Linked DNA regions of Canis lupus familiaris. The protein of the gene in region 2 purifies or fractionates together with the protein of the main gene of each other region. This does not show direct contact. Links are inferred from orthologs where the notes say so. Each region holds a gene or a part of one and is shown on either strand. Other genes may lie near its edges.

Region 1 (3,810 bases), on a different chromosome or scaffold from region 2:
GAACATTATAGGCTGTGAGTAGAGCACCAAATAAGTTTAAGATCAAGAATGTGGAGGCCAACTGCCTTGAATCCTGCCAAGCATAAATAACTGTTTTGTTGTAATTTGTGGTAAAGAAAACAGGAAGTAGTACCATCCCATACTCATATCTCATAGTACCAGACATATGAGACTAAATGGTGAAAGTTGGTGAGAGAGAAAGTTCATTGCATACCTGCTGTGTGCCAGGCAAGGTGCTCATGTACAATATATTATGCACTTTGCTTTTGGTATCTTTGTAGAAAAAAATTATTTTCATTCTTGCTATTAGTAGCTATATGGTAGTCAACCTTGGTTTTTCAGGATAGTTAAGTAAGAGACAGGGTTAGGCTGTATTTGTGTCTTACCCCTTAAGACAAATTGAGTATATACTCATAATTTATTGACTTCATGATTCTCTTATTATAGAAACAGAATCTCTCAAAAGAATCTTAAGGTTTTTTTTGAGAATTTGACTACCCAGACGAGAGATAGGTCTTTTTACTTGGGCGATTTCCCAGAGAGCTTAATCGATTGCATGGCTTAATCTGAGCATTTACTGGAGTTACTTCATCTAATGGTTTTAATAGCCTTGGCAAAGTAAGCCTCAACCACCAATAAATTTCCAAACATGATGCATTGGTTAAACAGAATAATAATACCACAGGAGCATTTCCTGTGAAATGTTCCTATCTATTGGTATCTATTAACCAAAACAAAGGGCCTGTGTTTTGAGTGACCAGATGTGTCTCCCCCCAATTTCTAAATACTACCAGTCTGATGTAAAATAATCCAAGGGAAAAAGACTAAGAGTCTAACAGGAGGACATTTAAAGTTACTTTTAGGTTTTATTTAAGTTTCTTTTCATGTTGGAAAATACCGTGTAGTAAGCTGATGTTTTCATTTTTCATGACAGAGAATTAGAGAAGAGAATGAATTGGAAGCAGACAGACTCTTGGTTAAGACTCTGAGTGCTCTGGATTCACTTTCTGAATGTCATCCCCTGGCATTACAGTTTATCCTCGATGTGATTTGTTGATGCATGGCAACTTTTCAAACTTATTTTTCCTGCAGGTCTACTGATGAGACATTCAGCCTGGCTGAAGAAACCTGCAGTTCTAATCCGGCCATAGTTCGGAGGAAGAAAATTGCCATAAGCATCATCTTTTCTCTGTGTGAGAAAGAAGACGCACAAAGGAATTTCCAAGACTTCTTTTTTTCTCATTTTCCCCTGTTTGAATCTCACATGAACAGGTTGAAGAGTGCAATTGAAAAGGTAATAAGAACATAATTCTTGTGTCAAATAGAGAAGTGATTATGGGGCTTTAAGGTGGTAGCATCGCGTGGTTTATGTTTCAGATCACTTTTTTAGAGAAGTTAAATCATCTGCAACAGAAATAGATGCTTAGGCATGTTGATATCAAATACTAGAGTATTTTTGGAGAGGCGATTACTGCTTCCTGATGCCTTACGTCATTACACATTGAATGTTTTGATTATATTATTTTATTAATAAAAGCTCAGTAGTAGACAGTTATAAAGCAATTTCTTCTCAGAGAGTAATTTGGTTTGTTTTCTCTTCCATGAAGGCCATGATCTCCTGCAGGAAGATAGCAGAATCAAGTCTCCGTGTCCAGTTCTATGTCAGCCGTCTGATGGAAGCTCTGGGAGAATTTAGGTACATTGACAGCATCTGGCAAAAATAGGGTAACTTTATAAATGACAGTAGCAGCAGCAGCAGCTTGGATCTAGGGATACACAGAGACCATTACTTAGAAGAATTGAGAGGCTGGCAACTATTACTCACTTTAGCAACTCCTTCCCTCAAGGTGGAAATCGAGACCAACTGGAGCAAAAAGTTTTAAGTCTCTCAGTGCCACATAATCTACGCTGCTGCCTGTCATCCAGTCTTTGATTGCTTTTAACAGGATGAATGGAGAAAACTAATATTTAGGGGTCTCTTACAAGCCTATTCATTATATCATGTAATCTTCACAAAACCCTAGGAGTAAGCACTATTAACTAGCCCCATTTTAAAGATGTGGAAACTTGGGATCAGGGCTGCTATCCAAAGCATGGCTGGAGAGAGTGTATATGTCAGGGATATAGACCTTCCCGTCTGCCAGGATGAGCCTCACTTGGTGTTAGCAATTGGAGACCTGAGTTTTAGTAAATAAATCCCAGTTCCATGTGACTTGACTGTAGCTTGTCATTGCTGCCTAACTCAGCAAATGTTTTTGGCCAAGGTGGAAATCTCTAGCATCTCAATTTATTTAGGCACACAGCTAGAAAGTCAAGTCCAGGATATGTCTCAGCTATCTTTATTTGAAGTGGATGTGTTCTGTAGTGGAGATCCTAAGCTGACTTACTGTGCTTTTTGAAAAAACACTTGTGAGTCATGAAGCTTGCGATAGAGCCCTTGGCACCAGGTGTTGGGAGACCTGAAGTCTCATCTGACCTTATTGTTCAATGTCTTGCTCAAGTAACTTAATTTTTCTAAGCGTGTTTCTGAATCTATAAAGTGATAGAGCTACATTGGCCAGTTTGGCTAATAGCTTATACTTCTAAGAATTTGATTCTGTTAGCCCATATAAAAACTCAGTATATGAAAGAGAAGCCACTTATATAGTTTTTCCATCTGAAATGAATAGAGTGCTTTGATTTAGAGAACTAAAGCTCTAACTAGAAATTGGGAGTGTTGAGTTGCCTTTGATCACATTTTGATATAGTATATACTTTCTTTCTTCATTTCATTTCTTTTTTTTTTCTTCATTTCTTTATTATCAGAACAGCCATAAATTTTGAAACTAGGCATTGTGAAATAAATTGCTTTAAAAATGAATATTTTATATGGGGGTTAGTGTACCTTTTCTATAAGGGGCCTCTGTCACAGCTACTCAGCTTTGCCATCATGCAAAAGCAGCAACAGATAATATGTAAACAAATGAGCATGACAGCATTCCAGTAAAGTGTCATTTGCAAAAACGATGGTGGTCAAATTTGGCTTGTGGACCATAGTTTGCCTATCCCTGATTTATATTACTGCTTGAATCTCTTAAGGGCTACATAGATTCAGATTATTGTTTTCTTCTTTATTCCTTTAGATAGAGATTATCCAAGATGATACTTGTGACAATTTTGTGTATCTCTTCCCTTTTCTATAGAGGAACGATCTGGAATTTATATTCTGTTCCAAGGATCGCTGAACCTGTGTGGCTTACCATGATGTCCAGCACTTTGGAAAAAACCCAGCTCTGCCAGCGCTTTCTCAAGGAGTTTACGCTTCTGATAGAACAGATCAATAAAAACCAGTAAGCTTCAAATCTCTGGAGCCTTGTATGCAACTTTCATGGCCAGTGTATGTGCTGCATGTGACATGCCTCTTCCTGCATTGACTCATCTGGTTGTATTTTCTTCCATTTCTCCAAGGTTTTTTGCTGCCTTACTGACTGCAGTGTTAACCTACCACCTGGCCTGGGTCCCGACTGTCATGCCTGTTGATCACCCTCCCATTAAAGCCTTCTCAGAGAAACGCACCTCTCAGTCAGTGAACACGCTGGCCAAAACACATCCATATAATCCTCTCTGGGCACAGCTGGGTTAGTACCTAATTTGACTATTCAGAGACTCTGTGGGATGGAATGGAGAAAATGCTCAAATTTTTTGTTGAAATTGGCCCTCCATCCCGGCGATTTCCGGAGTTGTCATTGGGCAGACAGACAATAGGAGATTGGCCCACAGATTCTAGTCGTAAGTCTATACCTTTATCTCCTTCCTGCTGCTGGCAGCTTT
Region 2 (4,398 bases):
GCATAAGCATGGGGGAGAACCAGAGTCTGAAAGCCTAGTGTCATGAGACCACAATAAGCCAAATTTAAAGAGAGGTTCCATCAGGCTCGCTCTGGTGAGATCAAAGAAAATGATGCTTTAAGAATCTATTATGGGGGACAGATTGGTGGCTGGGTGGCTCAGCAATTGAGCATCTGCCTTCAGCCCAAGGAGTGATCCCGGAGTCCTGGGATCCACTCTGCCATCAGGCTACTTGCAGGAAGCCTGCTTCTCCCTCTGCCTGTGTCTCTACCTCTTTCTCTGTGTCTCTCATGAATAAATAAAATCTTAAAAAAAAAAAAAAAAAAAAGAATCTATTATGGAAGAGGGGGGTGAAGCGACCATCAATGGAGTAAGAATCCCACAGGAAGAAGCACTAAGACATAAAGGCAGAGGCATTAACCCTGGAGAAAGAGACTACATCTTCCTTTAAGAGGAATAAAAGAGAAATAAGGTTCCTTCCAGCAAAATATCTGCAAGAAAGCAGCACTTGGCTAAGGCTCACCCAGTTTGTAGAGCATCCATACTAACCGTTATATTCAGCAAAATCACGCGTGCACCATTCCACCTAGACAAGAGCAGGCAAGGCCATTTCCAAATGAGTCGGGCAGGGCAGCGGTGGCCATACTGCAGCTCTAAGGCTTGAAGTTTTCTAGATAAGGAAAAAAAAATTTAAGCAGATCATAAAAGCAATGCACTTGGTGATACACACGCAACAATCAAGCAGCTTACTGCCAACTTAAAATGAGAACATCACAAAAAAAGAGCCAGAGATTCCCATGGTTCTAAATGGCTTAGTAGGCTTTTTGCCTTTTGAGCAGTGGCTGACAGCAAGTTGACATTGCAGCCAAACTTTGAGCTGAACTTTTGCACGCCTACACCGTATTTCATAAAGGACTTCTCTAAATATAAATATACTTACGTCTTTTAAAAATACAAAACATTTACAAATACAAGGTTCTCATCCCTCCTATTCTTGGTTACAAGGGGACTGCCTTGGCAGCACCCACACCATGCCTATGAAATCCTTCAGATCCTAGGCCTACAAGTTTCTCTCCTCCTCCAATGGGAAGGAGACACCAGAGGTGACGTTGCCAAGCTACTTCCCAGCATCCCTGGTCAACATGGGAGACTCTTACTAGTAGTTTTGTTTTGGTTTTTTTAAAAAGCAGTCCTGATCAGGAGTACAAGAGCCCCAGACAGCCAGCAGAAGACAAGGAGATACCACTTAGCTCCAGAAAATCCAGAAAGAAAACCTGTCTCCAGCCTTTACCTGACAGGTGATGTCAAGTATCTTCCTATCCTGAGAATCACCTAAAGCTGAGACACAAAGGCCAACCCCAGCTCTCAGGTTAACCACTACACGTGGAATCAGAATTCTGAGTGGCAGGAAGTCAGTTTTTCTTTTTTTTTTTAAGACTATTTATTCATGAGCGACAGAGAGAGAGAAGCAGAGACACAGGCAGAGGGAGAAGCAGGCTCCATGCAGGGAGCCCGATGTGGGACTCAATCCCGAGTCTCCAGGATCACACGCCCTGGGCGGAAGGCAGGCACCAAACTGCTGAGCCAACCCAGGTGTCCCAAGTAGTCAGTTTTCTATTTACCCCCAATTCCAATCTGAACCAGATGTTTACCGAAGAAACTAAACTGGCTTGAATATACCTAACAGTTCTCAACGAGCTTTCCAGAACCCAAGGAAGAAGCAGAAATCTGTCCCCCTCCCCTAGTCTCTTCAACTCAAAGAAAGAATCCAAATAACTCAAAAAAGTAGGGCCCTTTCCATGGCCCTGGGTCTATTTCATTTCCACTTCCTGGGGTCTTCTCATAGGACCACAGAGGCTCAAAAACCACCTTGAAAATAAACACAGCATCATAATGGTTCTTAACTAATAAGGAGCAGCAGGGTCCCCTGCAGCTTCTTTACCTAGTCTTCCACTGGGGAGTCTCATTCAGTCAGCAGCTGGACCCCAGCAAGTCCAAGGTGGAACGTTCCACAGGGAATTACTTCCAGCTCAAACCCGTTCAACACCTTGGTGGCTCTACTATTTCCACCTTCACCTGGATTTCTGTTTACCAAGTTCCCGCGGGTGACACTACCAGGGCAAACACAGCCACGTGCTGTTCCTCAATCTCCAAGGCCTCCAGCGCTTTCTCCGCTGTGACAGGAGCCCCTACAGCCACCCCGGTGGACGCCGCGGGTGCCGGGTGCCTCCTCCCATGGCTGCTGAGGCTCACCTGGGCCTCGATCCGCAGCGAGCCTACCCTTGGGTAAATAAGGATTCCAGGTGACAAGGCTGCGCCCAGCGATATCCAGCAACCCGGAGAGGAAAGCGTCTTCCAGCCGCCTTGGAGGGCGCTGAGGTAGGCCTACCCCTCCCGAGGACGGCGGCCTGGGAGAGGCGACACCCGCACACGCACCCTCCCCCGGGCAGCGGGGGCACGGCCGGACGCGCGGGCCCCGGGCAACACTCGAGGAGAACCCATCAGCGACGCCGGCCGGGTCGGAACCGAGCTCACGGTCCTCGGCCCTTTACGGTCCGGGAATCTGCCGCCCACCCCGTCAGCGGCTCCGCACAGCCGCTCCGGGGGCGCCGCACCGCCAACCCGGGCGCCCTCGGCCCCGGCACGTTCCCGGCCGGTCCTCGCCCCCCGCCGCCCGCCGCCCGCCCCTCCCCGAGCCCTCCCCCCGAACCAGGCTCCCTTCGACCTCCACGAAGCAGCCCGCCAGCCCGGGTTCCAACGGCGGCACGAGCCGGCCGGCCGCTCCGGGACTGGCTCCGCACGGACTCCGTCCGACCCCCGCGGGCGAGGAGAGCCTCGGGGCCGGAGCGGCGCTCGGGCCGCGGCGCACCTGACAGGACTCGCCCTGCGCTCCTGGAGCCCGCCGGGACGCCCGCCTGCGCTCGCGAGGCCCCGCACCTGCCCTCAGGAGGCTCGGTCCGGCCACCTCCCCACTCACCCGGGGCGGCGGCGGCGGCGGCGGCGGCGGCGGCGGCGGCGGCGCCCAGCCCGAGGCGCGTGACTTGGCCGGGCCGTACCATCCGCGCACCCCGCGGGGGGGCACGGGCTGGCTGAACGCGCCTCTGCACCGCCAAGCGAGCGGGCCCAAGCCCAGCCCGCACACCCGAGAAAACCGCGCGAGCCAGGCGGCTCTGAGCTCGCGGAAAACCTGAAGCCGCTTCCCGCCGCCTGCCTCTTCCGCCGCCCGACTTCCGCGCCTCCCCCCACCAGAAGTGAGGAATGGTTCCGGCCGCACCGGCCCGGCTGGTGGAGGAAACCATTTCAAGGCGGGGGATACTTAAAATTGAAAAATATTTTTAAAAGAGATTTGAGGGAATACAGAGCCAACCTAGTACTCCTGGTCCACAAGGAAGAGTGAAGTAGAGAAAGTCTCGATGTGATCACGAGCAGGGTAACGGCTTACGGTTTCACCATCGGCTTTGATTACATGGCATGGAACCGGTCTTCGGTGGGACGTGCCGGCAGGTGGCCCGGAGGGGGCCGTCCCGTGACGTGGGGAAGCGCGCAGCGCGGCGGGGAGGCTCGCTCGGAAACTGGAGGTGGGGTGCGGCGGAGTGCGCATGTGCCTGGCACCCTCGCCTCCCGGGGCGAGAAGGCCGGCGTCCGAGGTCTTCACTACCATGAGTCAGTTATTAAGTAATATGTATGTTTAAAACCTGGGCGCCTGTCTACTTAGAGGTTAATTCTAAAGGCTTCCGTGCACGATGTGCCGTGGACCCTTAGAGGGAAGAGCTGGAGAGATGTGGATCACACCCCGGGCCGGAGGGAGTGCGGTTGGGCCTGCGAGGCGGTGCTGCCACCTTGCGGCCGGTCGGGTCAGAGGCCGCTGGTCTCCGCGCCTCGCCCGCGTGGCTGTGGCAGGGGGTGTCGCGAGGGGGCAGGTGCGGGGGTTGGGCGGGGAAGCCTCGGCCTTTATCAAGTAGAAATTCATAACGAATTTCCGCGTTATGCTGAGGAGAGGAAAGAACGAAATTGCAATTCATTTCGTCTTCTTTAGTGGTGTGACAAAAGGTTGAGTATGGGAGTTGCGAGGTCAGGCAGTGCCTTTCTGTGTTTACTGAGTCTCCAGTTCCTCGTGATAGTGGACATCACAGACTTAATGTATTGGCTCGTAAGTCACAAGATAACTTCTGAAGCAAACAATAGAAAACCCATAAGGATAAACAGATTTGGAGGTTTTTTTTTAATTTTTATTTTAGACTTCAGATGCTTGAATTTTACTGAGTTTGCAAAATTCTTTGAAAGCCTTAGTGGGAAGGTGCAAGGAATATTTGCAGCCTCCTTATGTGACTGTGCCTCTTCCAATTTTAAAAGAAAACGTCATTTCAACATTTGTCAGAATGAACAGGGTTCACCCAG

The links.
Region 1: the proteins of FLCN (region 2) and FNIP2 purify together in Homo sapiens (affinity purification with western blotting; 5 studies listed by BioGRID and IntAct, with this or other methods). This does not show direct contact. The link is inferred for Canis lupus familiaris from reciprocal best matches to the Homo sapiens genes FLCN and FNIP2.

The regions. Positions count from the first base shown.
Region 1 is NC_049236.1:56,322,100-56,325,909, forward strand, and holds part of FNIP2 (folliculin-interacting protein 2), read left to right. Parts: intron 1-1,092; coding exon 1,093-1,294; intron 1,295-1,607; coding exon 1,608-1,696; intron 1,697-3,182; coding exon 3,183-3,329; intron 3,330-3,447; coding exon 3,448-3,617; intron 3,618-3,810.
Region 2 is NC_049226.1:42,389,993-42,394,390, reverse strand, and holds the start of FLCN (folliculin), read right to left. Parts: upstream 2,994-4,398; 5' UTR 2,978-2,993; intron 671-2,977; 5' UTR 550-670; intron 1-549. UniProt on the Homo sapiens protein: Multi-functional protein, involved in both the cellular response to amino acid availability and in the regulation of glycolysis.